4 linked regions of the Caenorhabditis elegans genome follow. The protein of the gene in region 3 purifies or fractionates together with the protein of the main gene of each other region. This does not show direct contact. Each region holds a gene or a part of one and is shown on either strand. Other genes may lie near its edges.

Evidence for each region.
Region 1: the proteins of inos-1 (region 3) and aak-2 fractionate together in Caenorhabditis elegans (co-fractionation; one large-scale study listed by BioGRID). This does not show direct contact.
Region 2: the proteins of inos-1 (region 3) and disl-2 fractionate together in Caenorhabditis elegans (co-fractionation; one large-scale study listed by BioGRID). This does not show direct contact.
Region 4: the proteins of inos-1 (region 3) and swsn-4 fractionate together in Caenorhabditis elegans (co-fractionation; one large-scale study listed by BioGRID). This does not show direct contact.

What each region holds. Positions count from the first base shown.
Region 1 is NC_003284.9:16,794,515-16,802,123, reverse strand, and holds the start of aak-2 (5'-AMP-activated protein kinase catalytic subunit alpha-2), read right to left. Parts: upstream 6,036-7,609; coding exon 5,893-6,035; intron 5,010-5,892; exon of another isoform or gene 4,950-5,009; intron 2,418-4,949; coding exon 2,254-2,417; intron 2,079-2,253; coding exon 1,610-2,078; intron 1,436-1,609; coding exon 1,317-1,435; intron 1,092-1,316; coding exon 986-1,091; intron 897-985; coding exon 791-896; intron 742-790; coding exon 534-741; intron 433-533; coding exon 121-432; intron 1-120. UniProt on the Caenorhabditis elegans protein: Acts as a sensor that couples lifespan to information about energy levels and insulin-like signals. Role in motility and response to oxidative stress. Involved in the establishment of germline stem cell (GSC) quiescence during dauer development.
Region 2 is NC_003281.10:5,441,438-5,447,041, reverse strand, and holds disl-2 (DIS3-like exonuclease 2), read right to left. Parts: upstream 3,876-5,604; coding exon 3,772-3,875; intron 3,725-3,771; coding exon 3,415-3,724; intron 3,163-3,414; coding exon 1,954-3,162; intron 1,768-1,953; coding exon 1,288-1,767; intron 1,243-1,287; coding exon 1,054-1,242; intron 1,004-1,053; coding exon 749-1,003; 3' UTR 536-748; downstream 1-535. Other genes in the region: skpt-1 (F-box domain-containing protein), read left to right, coding at 1-160, 211-406; T24G10.2 (DM2 domain-containing protein), read left to right, coding at 4,313-4,357, 4,402-4,485, 4,536-5,294. UniProt on the Caenorhabditis elegans protein: 3'-5'-exoribonuclease that specifically recognizes RNAs polyuridylated at their 3' end and mediates their degradation.
Region 3 is NC_003280.10:11,697,817-11,701,933, reverse strand, and holds inos-1 (Inositol-3-phosphate synthase), read left to right. Parts: upstream 1-1,633; 5' UTR 1,634-1,671; coding exon 1,672-1,988; intron 1,989-2,210; coding exon 2,211-3,125; intron 3,126-3,172; coding exon 3,173-3,518; 3' UTR 3,519-3,617; downstream 3,618-4,117. Other genes in the region: xpf-1 (DNA repair endonuclease XPF), read right to left, coding at 97-246, 297-434, 1,075-1,200, 1,246-1,335, 3,638-4,014.
Region 4 is NC_003282.8:11,124,144-11,131,666, reverse strand, and holds swsn-4 (SWI/SNF chromatin remodeling complex core catalytic subunit swsn-4), read right to left. Parts: upstream 5,644-7,523; 5' UTR 5,594-5,643; coding exon 5,138-5,593; intron 5,091-5,137; coding exon 4,866-5,090; intron 4,819-4,865; coding exon 4,592-4,818; intron 4,545-4,591; coding exon 3,752-4,544; intron 3,704-3,751; coding exon 2,054-3,703; intron 2,010-2,053; coding exon 1,503-2,009; intron 1,458-1,502; coding exon 972-1,457; intron 924-971; coding exon 843-923; 3' UTR 505-842; downstream 1-504. Other genes in the region: ard-1 (3-hydroxyacyl-CoA dehydrogenase type-2), read right to left, coding at 109-267, 351-374; Meiotic recombination protein spo-11, read left to right, coding at 6,932-6,979, 7,025-7,194, 7,245-7,479.

The sequences.
Region 1 (7,609 bases), on a different chromosome or scaffold from region 3:
GATTTTAGTTTAAAAAAATGCACTAACTTGTATTTTCTAGTATTTTCTAGAACGATTAACTAAATATTTTAAACAGGTTCCACTTTCAAAAAGTTCAATCTAAACAAAGAAAACCCTTACATCCAGACTCCTCGTCGGCCAAACTCTTGAAATCCAACAAGTAACTTCTCTGATCCACTTGGTACAACTGCAACGACATCTTTGGCGGGTCGGCAGCGGGTGCATCAGGCTTGCGACGAACAATCACATGATATGGGTTGAGCACCTTCCACTCCATGTCCAGCTGCTTCATCGCACGGAACACCTCGAACATGATGTCTTCCGGACGACTTTGGGATCGGATACCCAGATGCCACTTGGCACGTTTGTTGCGGTTCGCGCCACTGGCTTCCGTGTTGTCGAGAGTTGGTGTGATCTTGCTGCTGACTGACGCTGAAATTGAAGATTTAGATATTGTTTTACGAATTTCATGTTCGATGCAAAAGTTTTATTATTCTTTGCCACCAAGAGTTTTTCTATGCACCCTCTCCTACCTGCAATGCGCTCTGGATGGCGATGAACTGGTCCAGGTCCCTTATTCGGCGTCACTTGATAAAACTCCTCAATTGACAACTTGGCAGTCTCATCGGCAATTCTCTTGTTATCAACAATCAAGTTATATGCAATCGACAAATGGTGATGTGGATCATCTCCCAGCAATGCTGAGGTGACTTCCTCTTCGGCGACATGATAGCGCTGAAACTTTTCATTGTGATTAGAAACTTCTGCTCCTATCGAACACGATTAATACCTCAGTGACCTCTCGGACAGCCTCAATATCAACAATGGAAGCCTCACTCTCGTTGATTGGTGGGAACAAGTAGTTCGGCAAATCCTTCTGGAACCACTCGTGAGCACTGAAAATATAAAGCAGTTATTGTCTTGTTTCCTTGGCGTCTCATAGCAACGATGTTTGTTTTTTTTTTCTTTTTAGAAGACCACTTACATGACGTCCTTGATGGTGGCCCTCTTCATCGGGTCTACGCAGAGCATATGGTGAAGCAGATTTACAATTGGGCGCTCCAGAAAGTCTGGAGTTGGGAATACGCCAGCTAAAAAACATATTTCGTGAACGTTATAATTTTTAATGATTCCAATTTAAATTTCAAACATTTATCACCCGGGCAGTGCGCCAAAACATAGTAATAGTGCCTTTTGTAATAGGGATATTTCAATTTTCAAATCCCATTTCGCTTTCATATGTCTAAATGAAATTGGTATGTTGTCGTAATCCTTTGCCATTTTTGTGTTTTGATTCTCATGTCACACTAACGTACATTTAATTTTTCTGAAAAGACTTGGCACGTGCTCATCATCAAATGGCAGGGTTCCACAAAGAAGTGCATACAAAATGACTCCACACGACCATACATCAACTTCGGGACCTGCGTACAACCTGCAAAACAAAGTTGTTGTGTCTAATCTTGTTCAATTACTTTAATTGGATTTCTACTAGTGCAAAATGTCGTCTTGGTGTTTGCGAACACATGTTTCATGTTTTGTTATTCAGTTCTAATTTGGTTTTTATTTTACATTGAACCATGATCAGGAGACCACCATAATCACTCACTTTCCGCTAATAACCTCAGGGGCAGCATAATTTGGCGATCCGCAGCTGGTGCGTAAGAAGTCACCATCCGTCATAATATTTGAAAGTCCAAAGTCCGCAATCTTCACATTGTTCTGCTCATCGAGCAACAAATTCTCTGGCTTCAAATCTCTATGGACAACCATATGACGATGACAGTAGTCAACGCCGGAAATGATTTGTTGAAAGAAGCGACGAGCTTCTGCGGTCTTCAGCCGTCCGTGCTTAACAATGTAGTCAAAGAGCTCCCCGCCGGAAACGTGCTCCATAATCATGAAAATGTCAGAAGGTGTACTGATGACTTGGTAGAGGCGGATGATATGCGGATGGCGGAAGAGCGAGAGGTTTTGGATTTCGCGGCGAATCTTTCCAACGACATCCAGTGACTTGATCTTCTGACGGTTCAGAATCTTGACAGCCACTTTGTATTGAGTTGTCTCATGGATTCCAACTGAAAATGTGAAAACTAGATGAACAGAAAAGAAAGATAAATATGTCAGTATTTGGCAGATTGGGACAAAATTTTTGCAACAATTTGGCAGCTTATGGTGTTGCCAGGAAGTTGCAGCAAATGAAAAAGTTTCTAACTTTCCGGTTTGGTTGAATTTTAAGGTGTTGTAGCTTACCTTTTACTTTACCAAAAGTACCAACTCCGAGTGTCTCCTTGAGAATGTAATGTCCGATTTTGATTTGAGCTTTGAGCTCTTGTTGCTGCTTCGTCGACGTTTCTCCTCCTGGAGACGACATTTTCGAACTGTTGTCTGTGCTATCGCGGTCCTTGCGTTCCTTTCTGAAAACGTACGTTGTTGGTAGGTAAATGATCGTAAGTAAAATCTCGAATTCACAAGTTCCTCAGAATAATTGTTCAGTTAAAAAATCAATAAATACAGTCACGAGGAACCTCCTGCAAATAGCAAAACAACGAGAAAAACAAGTGTATAAAGAGCATGTATTTTTCAAAGATCAGAAATCTAAGAACAAGTTTTGGTGTTTTGAGAACATAGCAGAAACAAAAAATGTCTAGAACTACAACCAACAAAGATCGATGCCTTTTTTCCTTTGGCCGAAAATGTGGTAAAAGGTCCGCCAACCTCCCGCACACTCTCGCGACCCCTACACCTCTCACACGCACACTCTTCTCTCTCGATCTTCCTCGCTCACTCTTTCTCACAATTTTCCTCGTTTTCTAACAACAGACAAACACACACGCACAGCGAAGACAACGAGAGTTGACCATACAGCACAAAGCAATGGCGAGAGATAGAGAAAAAGAGGAGAAAAATAGAAGGGAAAGGCATCCCGTGTGTTCGTTTCCTTATGTCTATCGTCCTCCGGCGCAAACAGCGTTGGTAGGTAGGAACAAAAAAATAGAAAGAAGAAATTGAACTTTCATTTAAATTTTTAAAAAATCTTTAATATTTATTTAGACCTAACCTAAAAAATTGACAACAAGTAGTCAAATGGGAACGAAAACCAGAAATGAGATAAGATTGAAAACCGAAAATCGCGTTTTTCTACAGGCAAAAGTGCAATGTGGACATGATTGATTGATTTTACGGGTCTCAAAGACTTAAAAATTGATAACTGGTGTGGTTTTTGGATGGTAATTTTGAATGGATAAACAAAAAAGCAACTTCTTATCACAGAATGACCATTGCAGTAGGAGTCTCTAGGAAAACCGTATGCCCATCAGGTCTTATGACTGCCGCCCAGACACCAGACACTAAATTTCAAAAACAGCAGGTGCAGTCAGTGTTTTGACATAAATGTGCCGGATATGAATGGTAGAAGAGACAATAGGAAAGGTTCCAAAATCAACACCAATTACAGATTTTCAAAAGGTTGGAGGAACTGAAACATCTATTTTGAGAGAACAAAAAAACATGTAGAAAAACATCATCGAAGGTCAGACAGTGGAGACGATAGAGAAAACACAAGCGCTCAATGAATAATAGCCGTATTGTGTCATCGAAATTTGATACACTCGTAATATAAGTGGTGAAGATAACAACAATAATCACAATTTGATACGACTAGCATCAAAAAGTTATGCATTAAAACTGTGATTTTACTAATTGAAATTGTCAAGTTGGTAGAAAATTAATTACAGACGATTTATGGCATTTGAAAAAGTATTAAAAGAACTGTTACACCGCAATTTTTGAATTTTTTAAATGACTTCTACTAAAACGAGTTAAACTTTAAAATTAGTGAGACTACCAAAAACGTTTCCACTGATAAAAAATTGAGACAATTTTTCTAACTGCACTTTGAAAAAGTAAACTCGGCTGACATCGTAGGGTTTCATTTTGGCCACAAAATTTTGAAATCAATTTTAAGTTGGAACATGTGGTTTTTTTGTTAGATTTATGTGATTAACAGCTGCTCATATTCTCCTAACTCAGCTGAAAGTTTGCCCTTTATATTGGAAATTTAACGTATGTCCATGTTCAAAAAGTGCACGTTTGAAATATTTTTATATTTGTACTAATAGAAGTTGCACAAAAATTTGAGATTTTTGAAAAATATCCACCCTACTGGAGCTAGAACAAAACAACAGAAAAATAATAAAATCCAACTGATCAATATTTTTATAAATTTTGTCAAACTGTAATGTTCAATTATCAAGATGTAGTCTATTTCAAAAACTCAGGAAAAATTTAGCTCATAAGATGTCAGTCGCTTCAACTTTTCTACAGCGGATTTGAGACAATCCAGGGTTTAGAAAAACTATTTAGAAAAATGAGCTTAACTTCTATTTGAGAAAAAAACTTTTTCACAAATCATGAGAAAATGTCGAAAACAGTTTTTTAAAAATAATTTTTGCATTGCATAAAAGAATGACAAAATCGAATCTGGGAGCTTTCAAATTTCACAAGTTCCCACTAAATTTTCCTGTAGTTTCAGCAAGAATATATTATATTATACGGTGAAGCCTCTTGAACTGAATTTCTATGAAACTAAGCATCTCAGATATTTATGCTTTTGTATATAAATTGCCACAAAAAATTGTCGGCTGCAATAAAAAATAATAACCTATATTAAAAGTTTGAGGCTCAAATATTAGACAACAAAATCTAGAAGCTCAATAAAAATTTTCCAACTAACATTTATTCAATTGCCTTCTCGTGATCATTGAAAATATATTCAGTTACTTCACGGAAAACTTCCGAACCTATCAGAATTTTCCTAATTTATGGGAAACTCTTTTTTTTGTTGGAAATTTTGACAGGTCTCCTTGCAGAACGATGAAGAGATGTTAAAAATGAACACTGGCGGAAGAACTCAAGGTTCAAGATTCGTTGGTGTGGTATCTGTTTGTGTTTTTCATGATATACATGTGACTCCATCAAGCTTTGGCGTGTCCACACACACACACACACACACTCACACTCTCTCATACACACAAATACGCAAACGAGATCACTCAATTTACCATGATTTTCAACGGAGGACAAAAAGAAGAAAAGCCTTTTGGTCGCCTCACGCGGGGCGCCAGCCGTCTGCGTCTCACACTATTTTCGGATACGTTGCGGCACGTGTTTTTCCAATGCTAAATGCACGGAAATTGGGTTTGAAAGCGGAATGAATGAGGAGAATCCGTGAGAATACGAAGAAAATGTTGCCAACTAGGTAAAGAGGGGGGAAGTTGGTCCGATGAACGGAGTATCGTACCGCGCGTTGTTTAGTGGAGGGCGGCAGCGTTCCGCGCGGCTCACTTATTCGGGAAGGGCCCCCACATTGTTCGTTTTGCATTAAGGCTCCAGTCTCTTTTCTTTTGTTTTTGCATTGAACATTTTTGCTGTTATCTTTTTCTGTTTTGCTAATCGTAATGGGCGTTTACAAAAAGTTGCTGAAAATTAATATTTAGTCTTTCAAAAACTAGTGATCTAGAAAGTTTTCAAAAAAAAACCTTGGTACGTTATTTTAAATGTGAACAATCTTTAATTCACACAGACAAAACACGGAATTCAGGGAAAATTCAGTATTTTCCCGAATTGGAATCTAATTTGCTGAGGGCCGATGAATTTTTCAATATTTCGTAATACTAAAGTAATTTGTACGGAAAATCTGAGTTGATTAGCTGAGGCGCTAGAAGCATGTTTAATTTTTTCACTAAACTCATCAGTGTGGTTTTAAAAAAAATTAATCTTTTTCACATTTTCAAATGAAAAGAACATCCCTTCTGTGGCTACCCATCGCAAAATTTTAGAATTGCGGTTTTTGACTTCCCTTGACCCCCCGAAAACCCCTCAAAAACTAACCTTGACTTTGCCGATAGCTTTCTTGAAAGATTTTTCACGCGATTAAGTCCACTTGGCTGACTCCGACTCTTGGATTTCATCTCAGTACCGTCTCCACCACCGTCCTCCTTCCTATCGCGGTCTCGATCTTGATGAGAAAACATTTCTGAAAATAGTCGGTTATTTTGAAATGTAACCTAAAAAACGGGCATTAGAACGGCAATGTTAGACCTTGAAATCCAAAAAAAGAGAGAAAAGCCACTTTGTCATGCGCAGAAATCGGCGGCGATGGTGATGACGGAAAATGTGAATAAGCATATTTTGGTGGCGTTTTTTGGTTTTTCTAACAGCTCGGCTGCTAAAAAGGTTTGCTGTGTAAATAGAACAAGTACTCACCGAACACTTTTTTCATTGTTTTTCACGTCGAGAAGCAGCGAATTTTCTTTTTTTGAAGGGATAGCTTTTTGAATTTTTTTTTAGCTATTCAATGCAACATAAAGCAATAGAAAAAATGAAGGAGAACAATTGAAGCTAGCTCTCGAAGAATGTTTGATGAAAGCGAAAACTTCACTTCGAAATTTCAATATCTAGTGGAAAAGGTTTTCTAAAACTAACAGGGCGAATATAGCCATCTTTTTCCAAAATGCCATAAAAGTGGAAATGTAAATGAGGGTATGAACATTAACAATTTTTTTGACACGTTCATGTGAACAAAAAATTCCACCCGCATAGTTCCATATTTTTAGAAATAACAAAAATTGCCTAATATCACTTAATGCTCTAGCTCTAATCCAGTTACTAATCCTTATTTCAAAACGATTTTTAAGCACTTTTCAGTGCTTTTTCCTTCCTCTCGCCAAACAAAAAGCAAATATGTTCAGATGCTCGAGTGCAACGCACTGAAGCTATATTTGGCAGAATACCAAAAAATCGATTCAAAACGCAATGTAACAGCGCGTGGAAAGTTGAAACAATGTGATGATACCAGAAACATTCATAATAAATTCTGGTAAAGTGAGCCCTCCTCACTTGACGCTACTGTTTGTGAGTATCAGACTCGGCGACTTTTGTCAAAGTAATCGGATCAGAACGGGGCAGTGTATTGGTATACCTCCTGCCACAAGGCACGTGCCAGACAATATGAAACAGTATATGCGTTTTATTCAGTCTCTATTTTTTTCGCAATTCCCGCAGGGAAAGTCACCTGCCAAGCTTACAGCTTCTAGGAAAACATTATACTTTAACAACTATAGATAAATTTTGAAACTTAAAAGTTACTTGTCAACGAGAGCTCATGATACGAGAGCCAACGAGAGCGCGGGAAAAAAAATGAGAGGGAATAATAACTTTGAACGATGGGACGAGTTGAAAAGTGTCATATTTCGGAGCACAATGGTTTTGAGCACACTCGGCGTCCAAGTGATGAGAAAAGTTTACTTCTTCGTTAGACACTTGTTGACTTGCTTTCTTTGTTTTTGAAATTTTTGTTCAATTTCCATTTTTCTAACAACTATCATTATGTTTGTTTTTGTTGCCTCTTAATTGTTAGTTTTGTGAAAAATCCATGTCCATGTTCATCTTTATTGATTTTAAAAATTTTCAAATTAACTTCAAAATCATTAAAGGCCACCCATTAAAGTCGGTGACTAAAATAATAAATCAGAATGTGCTGAAAAAATTTTTAGTTGTCGTAAATTTTACAAAACTTTGTTGAGAACTTCGCCACGTAGAATTGAGG
Region 2 (5,604 bases), on a different chromosome or scaffold from region 3:
TTGAGATTCTCGCCGCAAAATCCAACTACGTCACCGACCTCGACTTGTCGGATAACGTCGAGATTAGTGATCCAGGCCTCGCAGTGATTCTGAACAAATTCCCGAGACTTACGACAATTTCTCTCAATCGATGCTACGGATTGGACCCTAATATGGTTGTGTGAGTTTATTTGAAAATTAGTTTAATTTATTTAAACAAAACATTTCCAGACACTTCAACAGTAAGCCTTCGCTCGTTTATCTCAACGTTCATGGCTGCGTCTCTGACACGAACATGGAGCTTTTCCTCGAAATGTGCTCCAATCTGAAGGTCAACCGTCAGTACTTCAACTTCACCGCCAAACCGGTCAGCTACCAATGCGAGTCGAATATGATCTGGGGACAGACAATGATGGATATCGAATAGATAACAATACATATTATTTTAACTGCACTTCTCAATTGTCCTATATTTCTCTAGTTTCTAATTTTCTTAACGAGTTACGTGACAGTTAACACCCAAAACTTGTCAAATAAAAGTTTCGCTAGTAATATTGAATAATGCATTTTCATTCGACACCAAAAGTAACCGGGACGAGGAATGGACACGCGTTTTAAAAAATACAACGGGAAAATGGAATTTAAAGAAAAAAAGGATAAAGGAGAAAAAAAAGGATAGAAAAAGGGAAAAAAAGGATAGAAAAAGGGGAAAAAAGGATTGAAAAAGGAAAAAAAGCTTTTGCTGGAGGAGATCACTGAATCCGAATGACTACTGAAGAATTGTTGAGCCCGTTTCTTTCATGTCCTTGAGAGTCGACTTGAGAATATTACGTTGCTCGAGACTCGGACGAACAATTGTCGCGCTGACTTCAATGCTTTTGTACGGCACGAGAATCACGTAAACCACGTTGCACATTTGAATTGAGCTCGAAAACTCTTCACGGTTTCCGGATTCCGCATTCGGATCTGCTGGCCAGTAAATGGTAAGCTTCTCGGTCGATTTGTTGAAGTCTCGCTTCATTTTCTGAAATTATTCGGATTTTTTTTTCGTCATTGTTTGAAATCTATACTCACATCCACATAAACTCTCTTCACAACTCCATACTCAACGATGAGGACGTCGAATGAGAGATCCATTACACCAAGAACAACAGCTTGGCACTTCATCGGACCGGTTTGATGGATGAAAACTCCAAAATAGAGCATCGCAGACTCATCCGAAGCTTCCTTCGATGCGAGCTTTGTGTCATTGCAGCGGGTGCACTGAAAATTTAAATGCAAAAATTTCTTGAGTGTTTGAAAACTTACAATCTCCTGTATCTCTTCAGGAACTCTTTCAGATCTTTCATTATAACCAAGAGCAGCAGCAAGTTGTCGATGAACAATCACATCTGGATACCGACGAATTGGCGATGTGAAATGTGTATAATGATCCACGTTGAGAGCAAAATGATGATAAAATGAAAGAGGCATCTCGAAAGTGCAAAAATATTTCGCCTGTTGCATTGGCTTAATTGTCAATGAGGAAATTACTTGTCGAATGCACATATCCAAACGGGATTTTCCTTGATACTTGCGAAGTGACGTGGAAAGTAATCCAGACGTTCTTCCGTCCAATGGAAATCCAATTCTTGCACATTGCTCAGCCACGTCCTTTATCATTTTCTCTTTTGGTGGCGGGTGATTACGAAGAAGGGCGTGTTCTGGGAAATTTTCAGCGATCTTTTTAGCCACTTCCATATTGGCGAGCAGCATGAACTCTTCTACGAGTTTATTCGAATCTTTGATCTGAAATTTTAACATTTGTATTTTATAAAATTGGCAATTCTTTTTAAATTTCCGATTTTTGAAAATCTAAATTTATGGATTACTTTTTTGTTGCTAGAACCGAAAAAATGTGACCAAAAAATTGCTGTTTGAAAACAAAAATTAATATAAAAACACATTTTCTTTAACAAAAAACTGTTTATTAACCTCGTATATAGAAACTCCTTGTGGCTTCTTATCCTCATCCAATGCAAATTTCAATCTGGGAAGCTCGATCCGCAATGCTCCACTATCTTCACGCTTTTGTCGAAGAACTTGCGCGATTCTGTGCAACATCAGAGTCTTTTCCTTGATCTCAAAAGGCGTATTTCCATCTGAAATATCGGGAAGCTCGTCGCATGTGAAGTCCTTCTCCGGGTTCTCGATGAAATCCTGTGCATGTTCGTAGGCAAGTTTAACACGGGATCTGATAACAGATCTTCCAAACCAAACATCATACAGCTCGGCTTCGTAGCTCATTTTGAATACAGTTGAGAAGGAGAGGCGATCGACTCCAGGGTTCAAAGAGCACAGCTGCTCACAGAGGATTCTTGGAAGCATTGGAATTACAGTTTGTGATAGATAAGTACTATTTCCACGTTCGGATGCCCATTTGTCAAGCTCTGTACCTTCTTTCAGGAAGAATGTAACATCAGCAATATGAACTCCAATCTCAAGGCCTGGAGTTCCTTTTCCGTCACAATCATCGATGTGTTTCGCGTGAAGAGCATCGTCGAGATCTCTAGCGGTTTTTGGATCGATTGTAAAAACGATGTCACTTCGGAAATCTCTTCGGTACTCGAACTCGGCATCAGGGACCTTCCAGTTTTCGGCTGTAGTGATTGGAAGTGATTCGAGGCATTCGTCGCTGAACTCTCTGTGATCGATTTGGTGCTCGTAGACGATTCTTTCAGTTTCTGTATCGATTTCTCCGGACATGCCAAGAAGCTTCACGAGTCTTCCATCGGCATAAACAGATTCAGCGCGCCAATCAGTGATCTTAGCTGTGTAAAGGAATCTCTCAAAGTCCTTTGGGCGTGAGAAGAACTCCTTATCCACATCGGATTTTGGAATGAGAATTCGAGGGACACGAGAATCTGTAGCAACGAACAACACGTTGGGATTCGCGCTGTTTGGCATTAGCTGGAGCTTGCCGGCGGCTACACGGAAATGTTTCTTCTCAAGGATATGAACAATGGCTCCGATGGTGATGAGACAAGAATCGGGAACTTCGTCACTTGTAACTCCATTGTCTTGAATTTCGTTGCGCAGACATCGTTTTTCTGTTTTATTTGGGCTATTGTTGTCCGTTTTGCCGCTATTTCGATCTCCTTTCTTGTGCTCCGCCCACCATTTCACATATTCCACATAGTTTACCTGGAAAAATAGTTTTTTCCTCGAAGAATTCAGATTTTGTGAACATAATTTGCATATAACTATTCGAAATTAGCAGGCTTTAATGGATTTTAGATGTTTTCTTTTTTCTCATTTTTAAATTCCTAGAATTAAAAATAAATTTATGTAATCTACAGGAAGAATATCCACAAAGCTCTAAAAGATTCGTGGAAAAATAGGTATTATTTGGATGAAATCAGTTCTAGTTGTTTTTTTCAAATGATTAAACCGTACAAGCCAATCCTCTTTTGGCTTGATCTTTACAGCCACCACATCTCCTTGCATCGCACGATTCCGATCTTGGCCCAAAACAAGAACATCTGGATGATTTGTGCCTTTTGGATGATCCAAAAAACATTCTTGATAGTTTTTTGGATTTATCCGCAAGACACCTTTGAACATTGAACCGTCTTCGATTCCGGCATCTGTTTCCTCCTTTGATATGTATTCGGTGAAGATTTTCCGCGGATTGAAGTTGTTTTGCAAATTATTTGCATTTTGCGGCTTCACATATGGTTTTGCTTTTGTTGGAGTGGTTTTGACTCTGAAAAACATAAGATTAGTAGAGAAATTTGTGAAATTATGACTTACGTAGCGGCAGCACCAAACTTTCCGCCTGTAGCTGTCTGAGTGAGGCCCTGCGGCTTCAACGAACCGGGCTCTGTCACAATAACGGGACTTTCAACTGCTGACATCTAGAATAAATGGTAATTTGGGGGAAATTATGAGAAGAAACGAGAGGAAAGAGGAAAGTGTAATTTCGCAACAAAAATTTACAAAAAGTACAATCAAAACAACATGGAAATATATGGAAAGGATACGGTATGCAAGTCCGCAAACACCGTGCACATAACAATTTTCACCGTAGTCGTCTCTTTTATTTTCTTGTCAACGCGGTTTCGGGAGGCGGGCCTTTTAAAATTTCACGAAGAATTCGAATTGTTTCCCGATTTTTTTAAAAGATTTTCAAGTTATAGTTGAATAAATACATGTTCAACTACCATCTGAACCTATTCATCATACAACATTACCCCATAAACCGTGTCCGCCAATTAAAATTCAATTAGACGATAAGTTATTGATTTTTTTGGTTTTTTCAGATCGCTGTCGGGTAAAATCAAGCCAGGTCAAAATGACAACTGAGGAGCCTATTTCTTCGTTCCCCATGGACAAGGAGGTAATCTATTGCACAATTTTAAAGAAAATCATGTAAATTTTCAGGCTGCTGAGGAGGAAATCGCATTGTTGGTTCGCAAGCCAGGTTTCGACGAATTAACTCCATCGGATATCGTAAGGCATATGAATGTGAGTTCAAAGCGTGGGAATCCGCAACTATTTATCAAAAAACTTTACAGAATCGTTTTAATATCAACTTTGACTCTTATAAATCGCAGCTTAAGAAGATGGTTATCGAAGAAATTAAGAAAAGAAATGATGAAAATGGCTCAGATAGTTCAGATGATGGTGGAACTGACAGTGATAGTGATCATGAAGAAGGGGAGGAAAAGAAGGAGAAAACAGAAAAAGTCAAGAAAGAAGAGCTGCCAGTAAAAGCTAAAAAAGAGGTGAAAGAGGATTCCGACTCGGATAGCGGTGTTGAAGATGCTGTTATGGACGGGAAGAAGAGAGGAAAGAAAACTACTACAAGGATTCCACCAGATATGGCATCAAGCATCAAATCTACAAGAAGAGCTGCTGCTTCGGACGCTCTGAAACAGATCAGAAATACCTCGGAAGGAGGTAGATTTGCGAATAATAAGAAGAAGAAGGTGAAGGATCCAAATGCAGATATGTCTGGAGTCTTTGGACCAATGACAAAGCTCTGTTATATCAGCACAGAGCTTCAACAAGTCACCAAAGATCAGTGGATGAAGCGTTGCGATGTGGTGAAGGCTCTCTGGGATTATATTAAGGAAAATAATCTGAAGGATCCAAAAAACGGACAATACATTATCTGTGATAGCACACTTGAGTCGATCTTCAAGAAGAATCGTCTGAAGGGATTCGGAATGGTAAAATTCTTGACAAGACACATCATTGGAACCAGTGATATGGCACCGGAAATGAGAGAAGAGGCTGAAGCCGAAATGGATAAGCGTAGAAAAGAGTGGAAGGTGAGGACAATATTTGAGCAAAAATCGCCTGAAAATTTGAATTTCTTCAGAGTAACAACGGAAAACCAATTTAAAATTTTGATTGCAGCTGATTTTTCTAAATTAGATGTGATATAATCTTCTAAAAAAGATTAAATTTTGTTTAAAAACTATAAAAAAATTAGAATTCGAGGTTTTTAGACGATAGTATCACAATTCGAAGACATTTCCTTTTCGTTAAAATAAATTCAGAAAAAACACAGCAGAATCTCCCTGATAAAATTGTATAAACTTATTGGAAAAAAATGCCGAAAATGACGGAAAATTCGAT
Region 3 (4,117 bases):
TTTTTCAGGCACAATGCAGGCGTAGGTAGCCTTGAAGACAGACAGGCAACAGTTTTTTTTCGTTTTCCAATTCATTTTTTAAATTTAAAATCTAACTTTAGGCCGTTCCAACTCTTCCTCTGGATCCATCTGGTCTCTGGGATCTACTGCTCCATCTCGTCGAGCACCACCACCATCTCTAGTTGAAATTTTGAGTCGCGGAGCATCTTCTCGATCTACGTTGAACTCGCGGGAAATCAGAAGAGTCTGAAAATTGGAAAATTGAATATTTTTAAGTGCTCCTGGAATTTTCCTACTCCTTGCTCTCTGATGAGCAACTCAAATGACATTGTTTCCCGATTAATCGACTCCAAATATCGACTTTCTTCGGTTGATTCGGTGTATTGAAGCCAGTATACATGAAGGGATCTGTTGGGATTTGTGGAACGGTAGATCTGGAATTTTTATAATTTTTCAAATTAAAAATACCGAGCTGTATTCTAAGATGAAATTCTTGCAGAAAATCGGATTTTTTCCAATTTTCCATTTGAGAAAAATAAAAAAAAAAAACTTATTTGAATTCTCCAAAAAATACGAAATTTAGCGATTTTTGACAGTAACCGGTCTCGACGCGACAGAATAAATTGGAATGAAAAATTGTGTGCGCCTTTAAGAAGTACAGTAATCGCTTTGTTGCTTTTTTTCGTTTAAAAAAAATCAGAAAAAATTATAAATGAAATAAGGAAAAACGGAAAAAAACCCGGTTTTTTTTCAGTTTTTTCCTCTAAAAATCACTAATTTGTCCTAAAAATAATCAAAAAATCACAAAAGTTTACACAAAATGAGGAACAACGAGAAAAAATCGATAAAAAATTCACAACAACAAAATTTTGAAACTACAGTACTCTTTAAAGGCGCACACCACTTTTAGTTAATTTTTTTTTCGATCGTGTCGAGACCTTTTTCTTTGAAAATCGGCAGAATTGTTAATCTATTTAATTCTCTAAGAATTCGATAGAATTTTTAAAATTAATTTTCAACAACGAAAAAAAATTTTAACGCAAAAAATGAAGACAAAAATAATCAAATTTTGACCTCTATCTGCCTCAACGTTTGCAGCGACATTGTGTAGAGCACAATGGCGCGAGGTTTCTTCGTTTCCAGAAGTTTCAACAAAGTATATCGTTCGCGTTCTCTCGTCGTGCTCACCACCAGTTCGGCCTAAAATATTTCTTTTTTTTTTCTCAATTTTTTTGTGGTATAAACTTCAAGATCTCCAATATTTTTCGTGATTTCCTCAATCTCTTCCATCTCCTCTTTAACCTCCCATTCTGTGGTTTCTTGTGATGTAGAAGCCTGGAAAAAATTGTTTATATTTCTGTATTCTCTACCGTATGTGCTCTGCGTGCTCTCTAAGTGAAGGTGGAGCCAGGAATTTTGGACTTTTGGGCGGAGCAAGCCGATGGCTCTTGCTCTCTGAGCAGCAGCAGCAGCATTAGTGCATTCATTTGCGCCGGCGCCGTCGTGCACTTTTTTCTGTTTCTCTCAGTCTCTTGGTCTCTCTGTGACTCTCTCCTCACGTCTTCTTTCTTTTATTTTTGCTGCGTCTTCCTCTTTTCCTCTTAAGAGCTCTTAATTTCTTTCATTTTTGCAGGTAATAAAAGGACTCTGCTCCCCACACGCGATTGCACAATGAGCTCGGCCCAAGTTAATGGAATCTCGAAGAGATTGATCGTCGAATCGCCGAATGTGAAGCTGGAGGACGGAGTGCTCGAAAGTCGGTTCACCTATCGCAAGAACCACTTTGAGCATCGTGCCGATGGGCTCCACGTGACGCCGAAGGAGCACGACTACTCGTTCAAGACGGTACTCAAGCCACGCAAGACTGGGCTCTTGTTGGTGGGACTCGGCGGCAACAACGGCTCGACCGCAGTCGGATCCATCTTCGCCAACCAGTACGCGATGACGTGGCGGACCAAGGAGGGACACAGTCAGGCAAATTATTTTGGGTTAGTGGTTTATCGATTTTTATAGTCTTAGGCTTAAACAGTAATATTAGTGAGAATGTGGGAGAAAACTACGAAAAAATGCCCAAAGTACGAGAAAAATTGGCTTGAAGCCTATTTTCAGCCTGTATGTAGGCTTTTTCTGGAGGCTTCAGTTCGATTTTTTTTGTAGTTTCCTCTCATATTCTCTCGTGAAATTCGAAACTTTAAATTCAAAATTTTCAGGTCCGTGACCCAAACTGCGACTGTTCACTTGGGCTACGACTCTGCCACCCAGAATCAGATCTTCGTGCCATTCAAGGACATCGTGCCGATTCTCTCGCCGAACGACTTGATCATCAGCGGTTGGGACATCAGCGACTCGAACCTGTACGAGGCTATGGGGCGTGCTAAGGTTTTCGAACCTGAGCTTCAGGAGAAGCTCCGCCCATTCATGGAGCCCATCGTACCGCTGCCGTCGATCTACTATCCGGACTTTATCGCTTCGAATCAGGGAGATCGTGCGAATAATGTGATCCCAGGAGACAACAAGTTGGAGCATTTGGAGCACATTCGAGCTGATATTCGCAAGTTCAAGCAGGAGCACGAGCTGGAATGTGTGATCGTGTTGTGGACGGCCAACACGGAGCGATACACGGATGTTCGCCAGGGGCTCAACGCCACCGCCGACGAGATTATGGAGTCGATTCGTGTGAATGAGGACGAGGTGTCGCCGTCGAACATCTTTGCGGTGGCATCGATTCTTGAAGGTGCTCACTACATCAATGGATCGCCGCAGAATACGCTCGTGCCAGGGCTCATCGAGCTCGCCGAGCGTCACAAAGTCTTCGTGGGAGGTGATGATTTCAAGTCGGGACAGACGAAGTTCAAATCGGCGTTCGTGGACTTCCTGGTGAGCAGTGGTATGAAGCCCGAATCGATCGTCTCGTACAACCATCTCGGAAACAATGACGGAAAGAACTTGAGCGAGGCGAGACAATTCCGCTCGAAGGAGATCTCGAAATCATCGGTCGTCGATGATATGGTCAAATCGAATCAGATCCTCTTCCCAGATGCCAAGAATCCGGATCACTGCGTTGTGATCAAGTATGTACCATATGTTGCTGATTCGAAGAGAGCCATGGACGAATATATCTGCAGGTTGGTTTTTCATATAAATTTTCCTTGAAAAAATTCAATTTTTCCAGTATCTTCATGGGCGGAAAGCAGACTTTCGTGGTTCACAACACGTGCGAGGACTCTTTGCTCGCCTCGCCTCTCATCTACGACCTGGCGATTCTCACGGAGCTCGCGAGCCGTGTCTCCTACAAAGTCGACGACGAGTACAAGCCATTCCATTCGGTGCTCTCGATCCTTTCGCTGCTCCTGAAGGCTCCAGTTGTGCCACCGGGCACGCCGATCAGCAATGCCTTCATGCGACAATTCTCGACGCTCACGAAGCTGGTGACCGCGTTGGCAGGATTCCCATCGGACACTGATATGCAAATCGAATTCTTCACCCAACTTCCGGCGGCAAAATCGAAATCTCAGTGATGATGATGATAGACGCGAATTTATTTTCAATTTTCAAAACTAACCCTTTTTTCTCTTTTCTTCTCTGTTTTGTCTTGTTGAATGAATCAGTTTTATGTTATTTGCCTATTTTTTCTTACCTCATTTCCAGATTTTCGACGCTTATACTGTAGAATTCCGAACTGTATCAAATTGGTCTGAACACGATGATCACTGGAGAATCCGCTGAGCTCTTCCGCATGTTTTCGCCGCTTTTGAGCAGCTCGAGCCGTAGTTTTTTGAGTTTTTTGAACATTTGCAATCACTTCACTTTTCGATTCGCCATCTACTGAGCTTCTCATAAGTTGAGAAATCGTATCAGGATCCCATAAAGGCTCATCTTCAGGCATTTCCTGTGTGCTTTTGTATCCCAATTGTCTCCACGTCATCCACTTCATTTTATTGATTCCATAACGAACTACGTCGGTGACCTGGCGGGAGAGATCCTCGGAGCTGGTAATGACAAGAACCGATGGTGCTGAAAATTTCAGGTTGAAGAGAGGTGTTTTCTGCTTGAAAATGGCGAGAAAAACCGGAAAAAAATCGAGTGAAAATGAAAAAATCCACTTAAAAACGAGCTT
Region 4 (7,523 bases), on a different chromosome or scaffold from region 3:
TCTATTTTACAAAAAAGGGCGTGTCGAGACAGAGATCGCAAAATTGGCGTCTGGGTAATATTTTACTTGAAGTTTCTCTTTACAAATGTAGCATGAAATCATTGTTACCGAAGCTGGTGTAAAGATTCCTCCGATCTCCTTCGCAACATCGGCTCCTTTTGACTGTGGAAGATCAAGAATAGCGACCTGTGCACCAGCCTTTGCCAAAACTTCGGCAGCACCCTTTCCCAGTCCAGACGCTCCGCCAGTGACGAGAGCAACGAGACCCTGAGAAGATAGAACGTAGGGTTTTCAGATAACACTTTCAATTTTGGAGCAAGTATTCAACCTTTTCAAGCTCTTAAACTCACCTTAGTGCTTCTGAGTGCCGACATTTGTTCCCGTTTACCTAAATCATAAGTGTGTTTGATTAAACATTCAAAATCTCGAACTAAGACGGAAAGTATTTAATAAAAGAAATCGCAACGAAATTCGAAAATAATTCTTGATAACAAAAGCATATTTCTCTCGAAATGTTTATAAAATTAAATTTTTCTTTAAAATAGTTGACGAATAGTATGGATTAAAAGTGGAATATGGGTTAAATACAATGCTTAATGCTTTTGTTTCAGGGATTTTTTCCTGCAAACGTGTAGCTTGCGACAGAAAAGAGAAGTAGAGATAAACAGTAAAAAAGCGATGAGAGATAACTGTGAAGCAGGAGAGATAAGAATGGGGGAACGAGGTGGGACATATTTATGGTGACAGCTCAAAAAATCAGAAATCATAGAACATGAAGAATACACAAACAGAGAATAAATGTTTATGGGGACATGAAAATATTTGGAGCAGACTAGTTTTGATCACTCGTCGTCTTCTTCTTCCTCATCCTCGTTCGAGAAGCGGCGAGTTGGACGAGACTTTCGACGGCTTGATGCTGGTTCCTGGAAATTAAATATTAGACTTAAAGACATTAAAAAAGTTCAAGTAACCTTCTTTTGTCCAATGATCTCCTCTTCTTCATCTTCTTCCATTGGGTCTTCACTATCTTCCGATTCCTTCTTCTTTTTCGGTGGTGGTGCACTTGCAGACGATGTTGATGGTTCATCATCTTTCTTAGCTTCCTCGGTCTTTACAGAAGACGAAGTTTCTTTTTTCTCGTCCTTTTTGGGGGTTACTTTAGTTGAAGCTTGTGCACGTTGAGCTAGCATAGCCGACTGCATATATTGAAGCATTAGGGCTTGATTTCCACCGGTCTGTGTCATCAATGCCTGTTGAAACTGCTGAGCCTGTGCGGGTGGAAGTGATTGCATATGTGTCATAAGCATTAACATTTGCTGAGCAGTTGCCTGTTGTGTCCGCTGAAGATCTGACACACTTGGAGTGCCACTGGTTGAGGGACGAGAAGATGAAGTTGATGGGGTTGAAGGTTCTTTCTTCTTGACTGGTTCTTCTACTGGCTTCGGTGGATTCATAAACTGAAAAAGTAATGTAAACTTCGAAATTTCAAAAATCAATCATACCTTATCGTATTGTTCCTTCCACAATTTTCCGATTGTTTCAGAGCTAACATAAATCTCACTGCCTTCTTCGTTGTATGTTTGAGCATTGTTCACAAGCAAATTCATATCATCATTCAATTCTTCCATAACCGTATAACGTCCTGTTTCGATCTTTTTGTTGATTCGATCGAAATCCATTGGTTTGGAAATCACTTGATAATAGTCCGGCAGTTCTTTACGAGTTGGAAGTGTCTGGAATACATCCGCGATGAGTTCTCCATCCTCATTTTTATATTCTAGAATAACATCAAGCATTTCATTGATTTTTTCTGCCAATTCTGGATCCGTCTTCTTCTTCTTGTGTTGTAGAACAACGTCATCCATAGAATCATCATTCTCGTCCAATCCAGCCATTTTACGTTTTCTTTGCTTTTTACGTTCAGCCACAGCTTGATTATTTTCATCCTCAACTTCCTCAACTTGTTTCATGAACTGTTCATCGGACAAAAGATCGGAAGAGTAGTCGACCTGAAAATGAATTAATATTGTAAATTCTCTTATATATTCCTTACCTCTCTTCTGCGTCTTCTCTGATTAGGAGTTTGATCAACAACTTCACGACCTTCCTCTCTGGCTCGTTCCATTTCCTCATAATCGAATGACAATTTGAGAATATCGTCTGGAATTTCATGTTCTTCTAGAAGACGGGGTTTACGGTGAAGTTGATTAGCTTCTTCACGACGACGATCAATATCCATCGATTGGAAGATATTAAATTCTTCCTCTGAGCGAGCAACCATCTGATTCACAGTTTCATCATCTGGAACTTCCTCTTCTTCTTCCTCTTCTCCGTCTGCTTGAATAATTTGTTCGAGCATTTGCTTTCTTTCAGCTCCAGTTGAACGTTGATCGAACTTTCCTGCTTGAATAACTTTCTCGTCGACATTCAACTTGTAGCGAGCAGCGGCAAGAATTTTCTCTTCAACAGAGTTAGCTGTGATGAGACGAAGAACTCGAACTTCTTTCTTTTGTCCGATACGATGTGCACGATCTTGAGCCTGCATATCCTGATGAGGATTCCAATCCGAATCAAAGATAATAACAGTATCAGCAGTTTGCAAATTGAGTCCAAGACCTCCAGCTCTTGTAGAAAGCATGAAAAGGAACAAATCACTGTTAGGAGCATTAAACTGTGTCAGCAGATCTCCACGCTCGTCTGGTTTAGTTGAACCGTCTAAACGGAGGTACGTGTATCTTCGGAAATTCAAAAAGTCTTCGAAAATGTTCATCATAGACGTCATCTGGAAGAACATCAGAATTCGATGACCTGTTGCCTTTAGTTTCGGTAGAATACGATCGAGAAGTTCCAACTTTCCAGCAACACGCATTAGATCGGTTCCATTGACTTCGTTGACCTTCCAGTATGCACGGCAGGAATCTTCAATATTAGGGAAAAGGAACGGGTGATTGCAAAGCTTGCGAAGATGCACGACAGTGTTCATCAACGAACGTGCTCCAGATGACATTTTAGCGTCGAGAAGCAATCCTTTCTGCATATGACGATAAATAACCTTTTGCAAAGCAGACTGGTCACACTTGATGACATACTCGGTCTTGTCAGGAAGCTGTGATTCTACTTCCTTTTTGAGACGTCTCAGCAAGAATGGACGAAGAACCTTGTGCAGTCTTCTGATGATGAGCATCGTCTCTTCTTGATTCAGTTCTACTTTCTCTCCTGTAGTCGCAAATGGAGCATTGAACCATTGTTCGAAAGTTCCACAAGATGAGAAGATCGATGGAAGTAAGAAGTTCAGCAGAGCCCATAGCTCAGGAAGTTTGTTCTGAAGTGGAGTACCAGTAAGAAGTAAACGATGCTGAGCATGGAAGAATCCGTTCAACATCAATGTCAATTTACAATTGTGATTCTTCAAACGATGTCCTTCGTCGATTATCATATACTTCCAACGGATTTTACCAAGCAGTGCTTTCTCTTTGATCACATATTCATATGTTGTCATCAAAACGTTGAACGCTCCTTTTCTGATTTGTCCTTCAACACGACGACGAGCATCTTTAGTTCCTTTATAGATGATAGTGGTTACAGATGGAGCCCATTTAGCAAATTCGTTCTGCCAATTGGACAACGTGGAGAGCGGTACGATGACAAGATATGGTCCATTGTTTTGTTTGACTTCCATCAAATACGTCACCAACGAGATTGTCTGAAAATTAAAAATTGATTAATATTTCCTCATTTCCCAAATTCCTACCTGAATAGTTTTTCCTAGACCCATTTCGTCGGCGAGGATACCGTTCAGATTGTTGTTGTATAAGGAGACCATCCATTCCAATCCCTTAATCTGATACGGTTTCAGCAGAAGATTCGGATCACCACCACCCATCGTTGTGTGTTGCTTGACAACCTTTTCTTTGATTTTGTGAGCAGTTGCATAGTAATCAGCCATTTGCTTTTTCGTTTTCTGATCATATTCATCCTCTTCGTTACGTGCCTTCTCGAGGATCATCTTAGCTTTTGTCTCTTCATCCATTCCAGCGTACTGATCATCCTTCTCTTCTTCTGGTTCCACTGGAGCCTCTTCCTCTTCCTCTTCTTCGTCATCACTAAGCTGATCACGTGGAACTATCTCATATTCTGGATGAGTTTCAAGCCAAAACTCAATTTCTTCAGTCTTTGGAGCTTGATCTCCAGTAAGCGCTTTTCCAGTGCTTCTCTCCCGAACGTGAACCCTGGCTTCCTCATCCATTTGATTTCCTTTTTCAATTTTCTTATCTTCCTTCTTCTTTTTCTTTTCGGTATTTTGATGTTGACGAACAAGTGAGCACAGAGAGTCGACGTACTCATCGGTTTGTTGAAGAAGATACACAAGACGTTGATCTTTCTTCTCATCAAGAAGAGCACGATATCCTTCTTCATCTTCTTGCATCAGTTTTTGCATACGAAGTTTTTCATTTCGAATCTCGTCCTTCTTGCGTTCACGTTCATTGTTTTGATGATATGTCATGACTGCCTTGCGAGACTTTGCCATTTTCAGAAGATTGTTTCTGAAAATAATTTAATTAGTAGGAGAACTTTCTAAATACAATCTCACCTATGATACTCCTTGAATTCCTTTCCATGCTGAATGATAGCTTGCATCAAATCAGTATGCTTCTGCCTTCTCTTTCTTTCTTGCTCCATCTTTTGTTGCTTCTCAAGCTTTTCGGTAACACGAGCTTCGCGTAAAGATTGCCGCTTTGTGCGTCGATACGCATATGGATTGAGTGCAGTTTCGAGAGTTGTGTCTCTTTTGAGACAAGCCATCACTTCACTGCGCACCTAAAAACAGCTTATTGGTTAAAATACTCTTCGAATCCAGAAATTACCTGAGTTTGGAGATTGACAAGACGTAAAGCACGCAATTCGATTTCTGCTTTCAATTTCATGTGATCTGGAATGTCGGCGGGTAAGTTATTGAGTAGCTTCATGCGTAGCCCGATTCTGTTTTGAATCATATTTTCTCTTTGCTTGAGCATGCCAACAGGATCAATTCCTGATGGAACAGAAATTGTTGTTGGACGATTACAGCGTATTTGATGGAGATTGAAAATCTGTAAAAAAGTAGACTGTATAGTTTCATTCGATCCATTTTACCTACCTTCATCAAATCATACGGCAACTTTTCTCCATTCTCTGCCTCTCCTGGATATTCATAAGGTTCAGGCAACAAAGTTGTAACTTTTGGTCGGAGCATGACAGCATCCGCAATCAAGTTGGCCGGTACTTGTTCATTTCGAGCCAAAAGACGATAGGCTGACACTTGAGCCCTCAGTTGATTGAGTTGTGCTGGGGTAATTTGTTGATTCCCGCCATTTTCCTGTCCTGGAACGGCGTCTGGGAGACCAGATTGGAGTTTTTGCTTCAAAAGAACTGCTTTGGCGTGTCGATGGTCATTCTGAAGACCTTGTTCCTCCATTGAAGTTATCGCATTTTCCAGTTTGGAAATTGTCAGCTCTTGGCCTTGAGCTCCATCACCAGCTTGCTGAGCAACAACTTCACCGGCTGGTTGCGGTGGTTGAGCAGTAAACTGCTCAAACGCCGGCCTTCCGCTCATTCTTCAAAATTCCAGCAATTTGATACACTATCTTCTTTCAAATTGATAGTCTGAAACAATTATTAATTCAGAATTTTAGATTCAATTGAACATTCAAGATAAACAAAAAGTATTGCGGTAATAGTATATAAGCGAATTTCAGAAGAAGCCTGCGTGAATAATAAAACCGAGGACAATATATAGACTTTCCATCCATCCTAGTGCAAAAAGAGTAGGACTGATGGAACCGAGAAATAGCGTGCAAGTGAAAGAGAGATGTAGTGTATTGCAGGACACAACTTTCGGCGCGCATTCAAAATTTCTAGCGCATATAAAACACGGAGAACTCTTCGGGGGCCCTTTGTGAGCTAGTGAGATAAGAAAAGCTAAGAAAAAACTAAAAGATTGACGATTTCTAAAGATTGTGAAAAAATCGATAAGTAGTGACGTGTACGAATCGACTTTTCATGAATCCTGAGAGGTTTTTTCGTTTTCCAACGACGTATAAGTGTATACTGATAACTAGTATCGCTTGATATCGTGAAATTCGTCTGAAAACCGAGAAAATCCATGAAAAATGGTCTAAATTGTGTGTTAGACTAAGCAGCTGGGGAAGAAGAAGGTTTGAATGTATGCAGTGGACGCGCCGAGCGTCGATTGGCCAGAGAGGCAAAGTGAGGAGAAACACTATTGGAAATGGAGAGACGCAGACACTCTGCATGTCTGCCTGCATTGGAAACGGGCCATTGCGGCGGAGAGGACAAATGAATGGGAAAAGAGACAAGAAAAGAAGGAATAGTGGAAAATACAAGAAGACTACGGTAGATATAGACCATATCAGAGCTTCATTATGACTATTTGAATAAAGTATTTGAAGGAAATTTAATATAGCAAAAATATTTCAGCGCAACAACATTTAATGCTAGTTTAAGAAAAAAATGAATACTATACATAAATTTTATATTCTATAAAAATCTTCTTCGACTGCGACGAAATGAATGGTGCAGTCATTCGCTTCAAAATTGCATTTAAGCTGTGGTTTTTCGGCAGGGATTGAGAAAAACCGAGTTATATTTAAGAAATGCATTTTAAAATATTTTTTGAAGAAAAATGTCAATTTAAGAATATAGAAAAGAAGATCGAACATTGAGACTCGTCGGCGCCGAGTATTAAAAATCTGACGAAAATTACAGTACTACTCCGATTCGCTGCGGGACCCGTGCTTTATTTTCACGTATGGTCCTTTCGATTATTGACTTTTTGTATCTTGCAGCTGGAGCCTTATTAGCTTGCGTCCAAGTTTTATCAAAGTTTTATTCCATTTTATCTGTATTTTTGTTCTACTAATTAGTTTAAAGCATGTATGAATATTCTTTCAACCCAAATATCGATCATGAGCCCGGATCTGTAAGCTTAATATTGCTGATTCAAATCTAATTTTGCAATTTTCAGGTAGAATCTCAACAATCCACTATTTATTCGGATTCTGATGATTCTGATGACAGTTTTCTTGACGATGAAGTAATACCACCGAAGGAACAAGCTATGAGAAAAATTGAATTCGCTCTTGCAGATATTAAAAGGCAAATGGATAACAAAGAGAAATCGTTGACTTTGAGAATGTAATAAGTTCCTGTTGAAAATGTTTGAGTAATTTTGTTTTTTTTTTCAGATCGACTAGTAAATCACATTTTTGCCTTCGTTATACAGCAAAGAGGAAAGGAAAATTGGATAGAGATTTGCACTGTCTTCACCAAGTTTATGATTTGCTCGAAAATGACAAAAGATCAACGAAAAGAGAATTGTATTATGAACATAAAGCAGTTTATGGAAACCAGAAATATTTAGACAGTTCAATAAAATCAATTTGTGAGCTTTTGAATGAAAGTCGGGCTAATTTAAACATTGTCAGTGTGACATTAATAAACAAGAAATAATTTCCAAATTTCAG